2 linked regions of the Drosophila melanogaster genome follow. The protein of the gene in region 1 purifies or fractionates together with the protein of each later gene. This does not show direct contact. Each region holds a gene or a part of one and is shown on either strand. Other genes may lie near its edges.

Evidence for each region. The genes of interacting proteins can lie anywhere in the genome.
Region 2: the proteins of net (region 1) and Rab9Db purify together in Drosophila melanogaster (affinity purification with mass spectrometry, with the first as the bait; one large-scale study listed by BioGRID). This does not show direct contact.

The regions. Positions count from the first base shown.
Region 1 is NT_033779.5:80,757-89,765, reverse strand, and holds net (net), read left to right. Parts: upstream 1-2,378; 5' UTR 2,379-2,673; coding exon 2,674-2,746; intron 2,747-5,488; coding exon 5,489-6,498; 3' UTR 6,499-7,345; downstream 7,346-9,009.
Region 2 is NC_004354.4:10,620,947-10,625,847, reverse strand, and holds Rab9Db (Rab at 9Db), read left to right. Parts: upstream 1-2,622; 5' UTR 2,623-2,689; coding exon 2,690-3,283; 3' UTR 3,284-3,493; downstream 3,494-4,901. Other genes in the region: CG9806 (uncharacterized protein), read left to right, coding at 1-112, 177-893, 1,141-1,637, 1,692-1,947.

The DNA of each region.
Region 1 (9,009 bases):
CATAACCACGTGCCAAGGCCGGTTGGTTCCACTACTAAACGTAACAAGAAGGAACGTGACGTCACATGGAGGGACATGTGCTTATTACGGCAACGTTATGTTTACTATATGAAAGGAATTTGAATTGAGACGATATCACTTTCAACTAATTTTTGATAATGATTTTGATCGAGTAACAAAGCCTTCTAATTATGCTAAATGGCTAATAGATAAAAGGTTATTTGATTTCGATGAGCTTCTCAAAAGCTGAAATACGCAACAAATATTACATTATGTTCCGCAGAAGGTAGGCATTGAGCATGAATATTCTCAGAAGTCACCACTACCTGACTTCGCTAGTTTTTCAAGAAATTTCCAATATCCCAGGCGTTTGTTCAAACTATTGGCAAGGACCAGATATTAGTCCACGCAGACTAAAAGCAATTAGTGATTGAGACGTTCCATTATCCTGCTCTTGTAGCTCCATGCCGAGAATGACAGGTAGAAATACCTATATGTGTATGTGCGCATGTACAAATGCATATGTGTTTTCAGGTATCGAATCGATATCCATTTTAATTAAATATATATTGCTATTTTTATTTCGGTAAGTTCTTTTTCAGAAGCCAAATCAGTGTAACTCGATTTGTGCATGTTCGTCAACACCATGTTGTCCGCAAAATACTTCTTCTGACTTGATCTTTGGTGAAAAGCACATATCTACATATGTAGAAGCCAAACTGACTTCATGTACTTAGAGCCCGTCCTCATACAGAAGCCAAATCAGTAACCGCAACTTTACCTAATTTTAAAAAAAATCTTTGCAAATGATTCCGAAGTAATTCTAGCTGGGGCGTACGGAAAAAATGGTTTACTTTTAAAGGAACAGATCAAATTTCGCCGACACGTACACGAACCATTTTTGGAAGTCCAGCATTCTTATCCTTGAACTTCCAGCTTGACAAAGGCTTGATCGCGACCTAAACGGCGGTAGCGGAGGACTGCTCAGGTTGCTACACTGGAGATTGTGAAGTCTGGGGTCTGTCCAATCGAAGAAAACAGGTTAGGCCGCAGCCCAATCGCATACTTTAAAAGCAGAACAAGTCTCTAAAAAAACGAAAGTCATCATTCAAAAAGCATTTCGCGCGACAGACTCAAACTCGTGCCCAGTGTACATCTGCTAAGGATATCAGACAAAAAGACGAAAAGAACCCTAATGATATTAGGGAACTGGCTCTTGCATTCATTCCAGCGGCAAGTTTTTTGTTGTGCGGCGTTCGAAAGAATGATCAGCAAATTTAAACTTTTTCCTAGAACTGATCTTTTTTTTATCCAAAACGTAAGGAGGTATTCATCCTGACTTAAATAAATTTCCAAATACAAGCATATACATATATACATACATAAATATAAAAGAAGCCATGATAATCCAACTTACAAAATTATGACGAGTTCTGTTTAAAAAAATACATACGTATCAAATAAAATATTTGTAAACTATCTAAGAAACTGACCATTCTATGCCTAAAAATCGAACAGCTTGTGCAATACTAAAATTAAATGTTGACATTATTAAGACCGTTGCTTTTACTTTCTTCGCCAGTGCCATCCGCAGATGAAATACATACTAATACATATTTTATCACGTATGCACAAATGAAATTGACGCTGGTATATGCGTTGTGTCCAGCAGCAATGTTGCAAGAAGAATAAACTGTTTTAATAAAGTCCTGATTATGATAGAGGCTTTAACAGCCTTATAAGTCAAACTTTGCAAAATGGAGAGCAGCCGAAATTAATTAATCTTACCTAATTCAATGGCATTTAAGATCTTTTTCTGTCCAAAATATTGAATGTATATTCATCCCGATAAGTTTACAAAAAGTCAAAAGACATTTTGTCATTGAAACATAAGTAAGGCCGCAGAAAAGTAATACTTGCAATCAATAAGTTGAATACAAATTTTTTCTAGTCGCAAATCTCAAGCGAGCGAATATTTTCATTCATAAAACTAATAATGTGGTAGTCAAACATGTTCGACAGCGAACCGATCCAGCGGTTCGTACCACAGTGCTGGCAGGTCTTTCTGCCTAATATTTCTGGTGCCAATAAGTTCAGAGGCCTAGCAAACTTAGCTGTTCAAAATTTTGCTTTAAAGTATTTATATATTTCTTGTAAAGATAAATACTTTATTTCTTATTAAGCATATAATTTACTTATGGAAGAAATATATTTTCTGGCTAAGGGCGCAATTTTTTTCAAGCCATACACACATTAGGACAACGGACTCTAAAAAAACTGAATGGTCAACACTGATAACCAAACGCAGTTCGACCGCGTGCTGCTTTTAGCATGAAGCCAGCCGGTCCCTGGCGCAGGCCATTTCAATCCGCAAGATATTTTCAATCCGTCAGATACTTTCGTTGTGAACAGTCGTGCTCCGGTCAGAAGATTTTACGAGAAATCGTGAAAATAAAAAGTTCTAATAAGTTGAAGATAGTGCCAAAGCTCACATACGGCTTAACCAAACCACAAATTAAAAAAGTGCCTTTAAACAATACGTGACATTTCAATAGGTTTATGTTAACATAAAGCCCGTAATTGTGAATAAATAAAATATAAGCCCACAAAACTATTCAAATACCGTTTTCGGATACGCGCTACTTTTAAAGTTCTTGAATGTCCTTCGCGGCTATGGCGAATACCAACACAGAAAAACTTTACATGCAACTAAGCGCATCGGAATTATCAGCAATTATTATGAAAGGTGGGTATTTACCTTTTGCACGAGCAAAGGACACTGCACCTGTTGCCTGCGAATTGTGCGGCACCTGCAAATACTTACATAAATATACACACCTACATACATAGGTTTTTTATGTCTTGCAGTCGGATGATTATAATCATTTCCCGCAAAATATTTGTCGACAATAATTTGTCAAATAGCTGTATATTCATTTTTGTAATCGAAACCCAAAAAGAACGAATACAATCATTAAGGCAAGGAGGCTATGGCCCAAGGCTATGCAATAGACACTGAAGATAATTGACGACCAACATTGTTAATAGGGGGTGCTGCCGTGTGCACCCAGAAAGCCCCACCAACTAACACGTTGCAGCAGAATCATATTAGCAGCAGACTTGTGAGGATGGCAATTAAGATGCAGACAGATACGTAAATAAAGCCAACTATGTGTCGCCAGCGTACTCCAACTTTCGTCTTGTGTTGCATATGTCGGCCAAGCACTTTGCCCGCAATGGCGAATTTGGGACGACGATGTCGCCAGACATATTGGCAATTTGTCTGTTTGTGAAGCTGGAGCGACAGTTGGACTCTGCATTGTGTGTCCCTTTTCACCACCGCCTGCTGATTGTTATAATGTTCGAGGACAGACGTTAACTCCTTCCATATTGTTGGTACTGTTTACGTCAGCATTTCATAAAATCGATTTTATTTTTTGTTTCTGTGATCATTTATTTAAAATGCTAGTCTTAATCAGCAACGTTTCGAAATGATTAGTCTAGATGGCCATTGGTTTGGATAGAATAAGGTGTCTTTAATTTAAATTGATCACTATGAGTTTATAAAAATTCCACTTATATTATTTTACTACATAACGCAATGTAGTAACAGGAAAGCCGAATGATATTGGGTTCGTTTTATAACCAACGTAAAAATGTCCTTACCAAGTGTGTCAAAGTACTGCATGATCTGGATGTGTTCTTACGATTCATTCATAAAAGTGATGCGTCATTTTACTACAATATATTTCATATAGTCGCTATAACATATTTACATTTATGTACGTATGAGTATATGCACTTGTTATGATAAGACGAGGCTTCCCACACAGGGAACGCTTCCCAGTGGACCGACCGCCAGCCAAAAGCCGCCTATGATGATAACCTTTCGTTGACTTTTGGCGTGAATATGGGATTTTCTTATGCCTCTGACAGTTAATGTCTGCCGTTTTTAAGTAGGTTTTAGCTGATTTTCGCAGGAGGGCATTCATTCTTAGAAAAAAAGGCCAATAACGGGAAAACCGTTGTCAATTTCTGAGCAAAACTTGCTATTTTGTACTTGGCACCTAAAGACGGATCAGATCCATAAAAAATAAACTAATTTGGGCGTACAAAAAACATCTTAAAATATTCTTAATATAAACAATCGAGAATAATACCTTCTTCCGTGTATACTAAAAATAAAATAAAATGTGCAGGTATTGCCCTTTGGTCGTTAGATGTAACTTTAAGTGTCTGATACGGACAACTTAAATATAAATTGGTAGAAATTTATTTTTTAAAAACTTGGCAAGCTTTAAAAATGTTTCCGTTTGGCACAGGTGTTTTAAACTAGACGACGCCTGCGAGGACGGTGGCTTAAAAGTAAACATTTGTCTAAATATAAATTAAAATGCGGTATATAAACCACGCAAGACATGGGATAGAGTTAGGGCTATAAAACTGATGTTATTTGTACAGCCTGATTTCGTGGCCGCAATGTCAGTCAGTTGCTTTGAATTTCGTTTCGTTGTTTATCTGCCTAAAATTAGAAAAGATAGCAGAATATTGTGCTTATAAATAGTTGAATAAACATGCAAAAAGCTTACCTTCCGTAAATGTGTGTCCGCACCGGTTCAAACAAACAGGGAATAAATTTACTCATTCTTAGCCAACTTAGCTTAAGTAATTAATTTAAAATTAATAACAAGTAATTATTGTATGTATGATTGCTGACAAACATATACATATATATAATGGATAGGCTGATAACACAATAATTGATTACAAAAAAAATTAGCTGTTGAAGACAAAGTTTTTTTTTGCTTAAATACCGGAATACTTATAAATATCCTAGCAGATTCTATACCTTTATACTTTGCTGGCACAACCAAAGTTGAAATCGCAAACAAATTCGATCCATGTATGTATGCTCGTTTATATGCATTGTGATTTTTTTTTAAATTGCTAACCGGGTTGTTGGCTTCTGATGCAGTGGCTGCTTCATGCTGAACTTGAACTGGCTTTATTCGCCAGACTTGAAATAAATTACTTTTAACAAGTAAGCTGCGTTTCGGCACTTCAATACTTGTGGAGGTCAGTGGTAAATTAAGAAACCTGTTTTGTTTTCGTGATCAATGCATAATTTCACTTTATATAATGGACTTTCTTCTCATGTAACCTCCGATTTGAATGTATTAAATAGATTTCATAGGGTGGAAGAACATATTATAGATAAGAAAATACGTCAAAACTACGTCATCCAATTAGTTTCGATCAGATGGTAATAAAAAATAGTAACTAAAGATTTGGGATTTATTGAATTTTGAAAAGTCGAAGGGGTGTCACACAAAGGCAGTCGCAGCCCTATTCGGCTTGCTGGCCTGTTCCGCGAAAACGGGGGTTTTTTTAAATTTACGAATACGAAATGCCAAACATTAGTAACCGGTTCGGCGTAATACGTCACAGATAGAAGATAACTAACTCTTAAATTTTTTGGTATTTTTAGATTCACCCAATTCCAACGACCGTGATGCGGGTTTTTGTTCCGCCAGTTCGGAAAGCGAAGGCGGAGACGACTTGGTCGTCGAGCACGCGCGCAGTGGCAGTCCCGACATCAGACCAAAAGGAACAGACTCGGCGGACTCCAAGCCAATAGCCCTTGTCCGCAACAAACGCAAGAGTTCGGAACCCTTCAAAGTCGTAGGTTTGACGACTCCCAACTCTAAATCCATGCCTGGTCCTCCGTCCAGTGCGAGTATGAATGCAACTGGTCCGCTAAAGAAACGCATACGATACACATCTTCCGCCGATTCGGCAGTTGTCCTAACGCCACCAGCCATAGACTCTCCACCGCCCAACAGTTGCATACCTTCCACGTTGCGCCTGCAGCATGAAATAATGCCTAATCCGGCACATATATATGTTCGCCATCCGGGAGTTACGACTCTTCACAGATCGCTTGCTGCCCACCCAGAACAGCTGGAACCACTCGCATTAGTAACGACCAAAAAGCAATGTGTCGACCAAGCGGGGCCTAAAATAGAGGCCTTTTCCGCATTGCTAATTGGAAAACAGCCATCCGCCAAAAAAACGTTGAAGGAAAGGACGCAAAAAGAATCAACGTCATCTTCCTTTTTAGAAGCTAGTCTTAGCGATGAGGATCTGAACAAGACGGGATTGGCACCAATTTCGCGACCTCATCAACATCAACGCAATTACAAGAATATGACTAGGGAGCGCCGCATTGAGGCGAACGCACGTGAACGGACCCGTGTACACACCATATCCGCCGCCTACGAAACGCTCCGCCAAGCTGTTCCAGCCTATGCCAGCACTCAAAAACTTTCCAAACTCTCCGTTCTTCGGGTAGCGTGTTCCTATATACTAACCTTAAGTAGAATGGCTGGCGAGGATTACAGCGCCGATCAATCCGTACCGTCCATTGCCACGTGCTTAGAAGCTGTAACATCAACCATCCAAACGGAGGGAAAAGTGAAACGAAAGAAAGACGAGTAATCTGTCCAGTTTCGTGGATAACTTACTTTTTTAGACTTTAAATGCGACTGATTTCTGCTATTTTTTTAAATATTTGTGCTTAAGCTTAGATTAATCTGCATACAGCATTCCTATCCACATGCTTTGATTCTTTGCCAGAAGTGGCCTAATAGCTTTAAAAGTTTTCAAGGCTTTGTTAGATATACAGACTTCATGAGTTTAAAAAAAAAATTTTTAAGTATGCCTGCATACAATTTGTATTTGATATTGACATTGTTATGAATAAATACTAGCGATGTGATCATAATTTAATCTCTACCTACAGAAACATTTTAGTCAGTACAAAAAGTCAACGCCATCTATGTACGAGTGTATAAAAAGACAATAATCGGCATCCTTAAAACCTATGTAAATGACAATAATGTAAACTATATATTTACCTAAAAAAGTTTCAGTTTCTTGTTTCAAACAGGATTTTTATATCAATTTACAAGTTTTTAAAAGAAGCTTTGCCAAAATGTTGTAATTTCACCATCAACTTTAGTTACCTTAGGACTGAATATGAAAATGTATATTTTTTTACATGTACCTCTATAATAAGATCAATTCTTCTTTTACGAATTGCATACAACAGAGATAATCAGTAGTAATTAAAAATCCGTAGTTACGAAATTAAATAAAGAATTTAACAAATTTCAGTTTATGTAAGTAACTGTAGACGTTTCCTCTTCAATTGTAATCTCATTGTTTTGTATACATTGATATATTTGTACCCATGTATACATTCATAAGTGTACGTGCCATAGAATCAGGAAATACACAAAACTTACTATAAAGAGAATGTATTTTTATATAGAGTTGGGATTTCAGGTGGTCGCGGTTAAAATATTAGTCATCTGGGTGCAAGCGCACTAAAGGAAACCATATAGAAATGACGGCTTTAAGGGTTATTTTATGTCTGTACGTTAAACAATCTTATCGTTTGCAACAAGCTATTTCGTGATATTAAAAACTCAACAGGTGCGCAAAGAACGGCACGCTATCGATTTAAGTACACCTGAACGCATCCACGTTATCGTAACGAGTTTTGGCAAAACTTAGTCCCCTTATCAGGTTCGGAAATATATTTGTCAGCTTATCTAGCAGGCACAAAGTTTACCAATATCACAGTAAGTTGACAGTGCATTAGAACTCATGACGTACTCTGAAAGAACTCAACACTATTAACTATGCATATTATTAACAAAGTAACTGCATCTAGTTGACCCAGTGCAATATCCAGAACAAATTACATCAGCTAAGAATCCTATAGAAAACAGGTTAAAAACAGCAATTTCCGATCAGTACATATATAATGACTTGAGCATTGGCGTTATTCAACAAAGAGCAGGTGGGAACTAGACCTGCAACTTACACATCTATATTAAAGTACCTCCACTTTCCTAATAAAATATTAATAAAACAAATTTAAGAAAATTTTCCCATTAATTGCACACACAAAATAGAGATTGCTAGGCCTATGGTATCCGTAATTTGTTAAGAAAAAAACAACAACGTTACTCCGTAAAATGCTGGATTTTTCAATGAATTTGGGGAAATGTGCGAAGGCCCTGTACAAATTAATATTAATTTTTCTTGCTTTAACATCGAATTTAAAGACAATCCCAGCCACATGCTGTGTTTTAAAATTTTCATTCTCCTGGTATCCCAATAATATTTAAAAAAATGAACATCTGCTCATATAAAAATGACTTCTAGTAGCAATGTTACAAATTAGCATTTGTGTAAATAAGTTAAAAAATATAAACTATAGTAAACCGGTGCATCACATGTCGTGACGAGATGTTATTTAAGTCGAAGCAAACTGAAAAATTGTTGCGCAAATATTGACTTTAAAGTCGTCTAAAAATACCACAAACAATTGTAGTTGCAGCTTTAAGTTATAGCAGACGACAAATATTGTCGCACCTGTCACAGGTGTGGCAACGTCTATTTCGGGGCAGTTGCCAGTTGCGCGTGTGCCTCACAAGGTGTTGGTGCGAGGGTGAGCCAATAAACTAAGTACTGTCTTGGCATCACATGCTGAGCTAGCTAGCGTGATCTTCTCATTTAATATGCGTACAAATTAGCACGATCAATGCTGCTTGGACTACATTGATAATTAACCAAAAATGTTCAACTCGTTATAGACGAGGGCTAAAAATAGATGCTAAATATCTCCGTTTTAGGATTTTCTCCAGCAAAGCAATTTTAAAGTTGTTCCTTAGCCCTTTGGTAACACATTTTGCAATATACTTGATACTGCGCTTTTTACAATAGTTGTGCATCCACAGAATATGAAATCATTGGGTTGAGACACAGCAATAGATATTTTTATGTAGCTGGGTGTAGGGATAGAAGAGCAGAACACTTTTCGCTATACAAGGAGGTAAGGTGGAAAAAAACTTGTTAGGAGCTTGTGTATGTGTACGTCAAGGCCTACAAGCACACCATTAGTTGGCGCCTAGATTGCAAGGCGCAATTGACAATTTC
Region 2 (4,901 bases), on another chromosome or scaffold:
GAGCAGTGCTTATCCCATGAGTCTTGCTTACGCCTCGAAGTCCTCAGATACCCAGGCGAATCAGAAGTCAGCCCTTCTATTCCGCATGCTGCACTCCCTCATTGGGACCCAGGTTCATTTATTTCAATAATTATTGTGTTAGGTAGTTATATCTTCGTGCACCCATAAAACTCCAGGCCTTTTTAAACGCGTTGCGCCTGTACCTGCAGCGCTCGCACAAGGGATCCTCCTCCAATCAGGCATTCCTGTGGCACACATTGCAGGAGGAATCGGACAACCAGATGAGCTTGCGTCAGGACATCAAAGTGAGCCAGCTGATGGACTCGTGGACAATGCAACCGGGTTATCCGCTCATTCGTGTGGTGCGCAACTATGATACCAACGAGGTGACCGTAACCCAAGAGCGCTTTCTGCGCAATCCAGGCAAGCTTATGCAGAAACGCCAACAATGCTGGTGGGTGCCACTGACCTTCGCAACAGCCGGCATCGATAGCTTTGTATCGACGCTGCCCAGCGAATGGCTGACCTGCCAGGGCAGACAGACCGCCAGTCCGCTTATCCTTAACGAGGTGGCCCAACCAGACAAGTGGGTGGTCTTCAATCTCCGACTGGCCACGCCCTGTCGCATTACCTATGACGAGCGCAACTGGCAGCTGATTGGAAATGCTCTTTCCGGCACAAATGCCAGCAGCATTGACCGCTTTACACGGGCGCAGCTGATCAGCGATGTCCTCAACCTGGCCGGTGCCGGGGTTGTCACCTACGATCTGGCCCTGAACTTTCTCGGACACCTGCGAAACGAGGACGAGTTCATCGTGTGGCAGGCGGCGGACACGTATCTGGAGTGGCTCCATCGCACCCTGCGGCAAACCACCATAATCTCTACATTCAAGGTAAGTTCTTCATAGTATGTGAAAGGATATGGAAGCTTTATTGCAAGCCATTTTCGACACCAAAAAGCTTTGCGAATACAGGGTGACTAAAATTTGTGATGTAGGTGGAGCCCATCGACAGCGAGGGTATTACGATTTGGTCAGCTTTTTTAAGCTCAGCTTTTAAAAGAATTGGTTTTTAGAAAGCTCAGCATGATAGACTAAACTCAGGAACAACTGTTAATGTAGCATTAATCCTTTGTCTTAGGGCTTTATGAGAGACCTACTGCAGACCAAGTTTGATGAGCTCTTTAAGAGAGATGGCTCCGCAGCTGAAAATGCAAACATTACCGAACTGATGGTGATCGTCCTGCAGTTGTCCTGCCGAACTGATCTGGAATCCTGTGCGGACTTCGCACTCAAGGAATTCGCTGGCCTCACCCTGGAGACCAATCGCATTCCGGTGGATCTAAGCGAAACCATCTATTGCACAGCCATACAGTTTGGAACGGAAGCTGATTGGACGCTGCTGAGAAGACTCTACACGCGGTCAAATGTGAGCGAAGAGCGACGGATCCTTCTGAGTGCCATGGCCTGCAGTCGAGAAAACTGGGCGCTGGACAAGCTGCTCAACCTGGCATTTGCCGGTCGATATATGCCCAAGGATGATGTCCTGCTGATCTTCAGTGCCGTGGCGCAGAATCCTTTGGGCTACAACATAGCCAAGAAATACCTGGTGGACAACATCAAGGCAATCATTAAATTGTACGAGTTTGTAAAAGCTTAAACCGTCCAATAATATCACCTCTGCACTTTTAGATATGGAAGCAATACCGATGAACTGGCACAGCTAGTTACCGTTCTTATGAAAGAGGTCACCACGGAAGAAGAGCTAAACGCTTTACGAATGTTTATGAGAACCGATCTTCAGAACCTTCCGGGCTTTGAAATAGCCTTTCGTCGAATCCTGGAACTGGGCGAAGACAACATATCATGGCATAACCGACAATACCATAATCTGCTGGCCGCCGTTTGCAATATAACCGGGTCCATAGAGCCGCAGTGCATCTACTAGAAAGACCACAAATTTCGACTCCGATTTGTAAAAAATTAGAATTTCCAACTTTGAATACTGGTCGATAGGGAATTTCGTTACGAATTCAACGAGGTATCCCATTCCACATTTGGGCGATTATTTTTATTCTTATTAAGAAAATACTTATTATTTTTTACCAAAAAATTAAATTTCCCAAAAAACGGATATTTACATGCGGGGCTTTCTTCATAACTTGGCCAAAAAATATATCACCGCTAAAATGAAGACTGTTTTGTACTGCCAAATAACATAGCTAACTATCCCTATCACTATTTTTATGATTCCAAAAAAAAAAAAATTTAACAAATTTTCGAATTTTCGATCATCATCTAAATTTGCGAAAAATGGCAAAAAATTTGAGTTTCTAACTTTGAATCCAGGTCGATAGGGAATTTCGTTACGAATTCAATGAGGTATGACATTCCACATTTGGACAAATATTTTTATTGCTATTGAGAAAATACTGATTATTTTTTACCAAAAAATTCAATTTCCAGAAAACGAATATTTACATACGGGGTTTTCTCCATAACTTGTAACTACTATATCAATTAAAAAATAATTTTCCAATCGCAATTGATGGACCTATTTAAAAGTAGACTACTTTGAAACATTGTGTTGAAACATTCTGTCCCAGAAAAAACAAAAACCCAGAACAAGCCAAGCTAAAATTGTCACTTCAGTCGAATCGTTATACATATTAAACCAAACCGAATTAACGATGAGCCAATACGACAATCCGTTTAAGATTATCATCCTGGGTGACAGCGGCGTAGGCAAAACCTGCCTGCTGATGCGTTTCTCGGATAACCAATTCACCGAAAGACACCGGGTCACGGTGGGCATGGATAGAAGGGAGTGCAGCGTGGAGTTTGCCGATTGGAGGATGGGGAGGATGCTGCAAGTCTGGGACACCTCCGACGACGAGCGCTTCAAATTGCTGAAGGCGACCCAATGTCGCAGTGCCCATGGCATACTGCTCGTCTACGACATAACGTCGTCCAAAAGTTTCCAAAACATCGATGGCTGGATGAAGGAGATACGGCGCCTGTGTCCGGATAAGGTAACCGTCCTGCTGGTGGGCAACAAAAGTGATGATCCGAACCATCGCCAGGTGAGCATGGCGCAGGGGTTCAACTATGCCCATCGTCAGTCAATCTGCTTTGAAGAGGTTTCCGCCAAGAGTGGAAGGAATGTATATGACATATTTAGCTCGTTGGCAATGGACATATATACATATCGTCGTGTACATTACAACCCGTTCAGCTTGACATCTTGGCAGGAAGAGGAGGACGCTGAAGAGTCACTGGATTAACCAATTAATCGAGCTGGCGCAGATCGGCAGAAGGCCAATGACACCAATACCAATCATTTGACATTATTATCATTAATATAATATTTTAACATTTCTATAATGTCTACAAGCTCCGTAAACTTCTTGCCTAATGAAAAAATAAACTATTTGTAATGTGAAACGGGAAATTGGCGAAAAATGTACATCAATAAATTACAACAAAAAATTACGAATTCAACGATGTATGATGATATTCCACTTTTGCACAAGTATTTGTATTCCCATCGAAGAAATACTGATTGTTTATTAACAAAAGAACAAAATAAATATGACGTCTAAATGTGATATAATGCAACGGGATTTCACCCCATAACTTGGCCAAAAAAGGTGGCACAGCTAAAAGACTGTTTTGTACTTCCATTAGGTATAGCTAACCATCCCTAACACTATTTTTATGATTCCCAAAAATAAATTTTTTAACAAATTTTCGCATTTTCGATCATCATCTAAATTTGCGAAAAATGGCAAAAAATTAGAGTTTCCAACTTTGAATACAGGTCGATAGGGAATTTTAATACGAATTCAACGAGGTATGACATTCCCCTTTTGGACATCTCTTTTTGTTGCTATCGAAGAAATAGTGATTATTTCGTACTTAAAAATCCTAATAAGAACTTTTGTATAAAATTCGATTGTTGATAACAGGGGTCTTCCTTCATAGCTTGGTCAAAGTGTAGCCCTGGCTTTGTTATTCTTGCACTGCAGCCCTGCTCATGACGCAAGTGACGTCACAGTCGCACACTTTGTTTGTCCACTGGCACACACACACACGCGTTGGCACACGCACACCACGACAAAGAAGGAGGACAGGCACACAAGGAATTTCAACCCCCAGCGAGAAGAATAACAACAACCCAGCACGGAAAAAATCGCTGCATACGTTCAGGCGGAGCGTGTCCTCTTTGGGGGGAATAGTAGTGGCGATAAAAGAGTGCGGGGGAGCGTGGGCGCGACGGCGGGGGAGCAGCGAGTTGAGAGCGGAGCAGGCGCAAGAAGAGCGCTCGAGAGAACCGGGGAGAGCGCTCGAAGGATATTCGAGAGCGACGCAGGCGCCTGGCCGCCAAAGCAGCGACGCCGGCCGAGGCATCGACGTCGCAGTCGACAGAACCACCACCACCCGCACGGGCACGGAAACAAGGAGCTGCATCCATCCGTCCGCCCATCGCCAACCATTACCACCCACCACCCCTTGATGGCGCTGCTGAAGCTGCCGCTGCTGCTGCTGCTGCTACTGCTACTGCTGCTGGTGGCACCGAAACACAACAAACCGTAAACCATTGGCGCTGGCAGCGACGTTGCGTCGGCGTTCGCGACTGTTGGAATGACAGGATGTTGGCTGCAGACTCAGCGGGGTGCGATTGTGGGCGGATGGGTGGCCCATGGTCAATGATGAAGGGGGGGCGGGGAGTGTGGGGAGGTTGGCGGCCGAACGACTGCTTCGCAGCAGCCTTACCACCACATAAACAAAAATTCGATTTATGACCACTGGTGGGAGTGGCACGGGCGCTCACGGGCTTCGCATGGATTTTTGGGGGTGGCGCCAATTCGCTTTGCTCCTGCCACTCGCTTCTGAATCCTT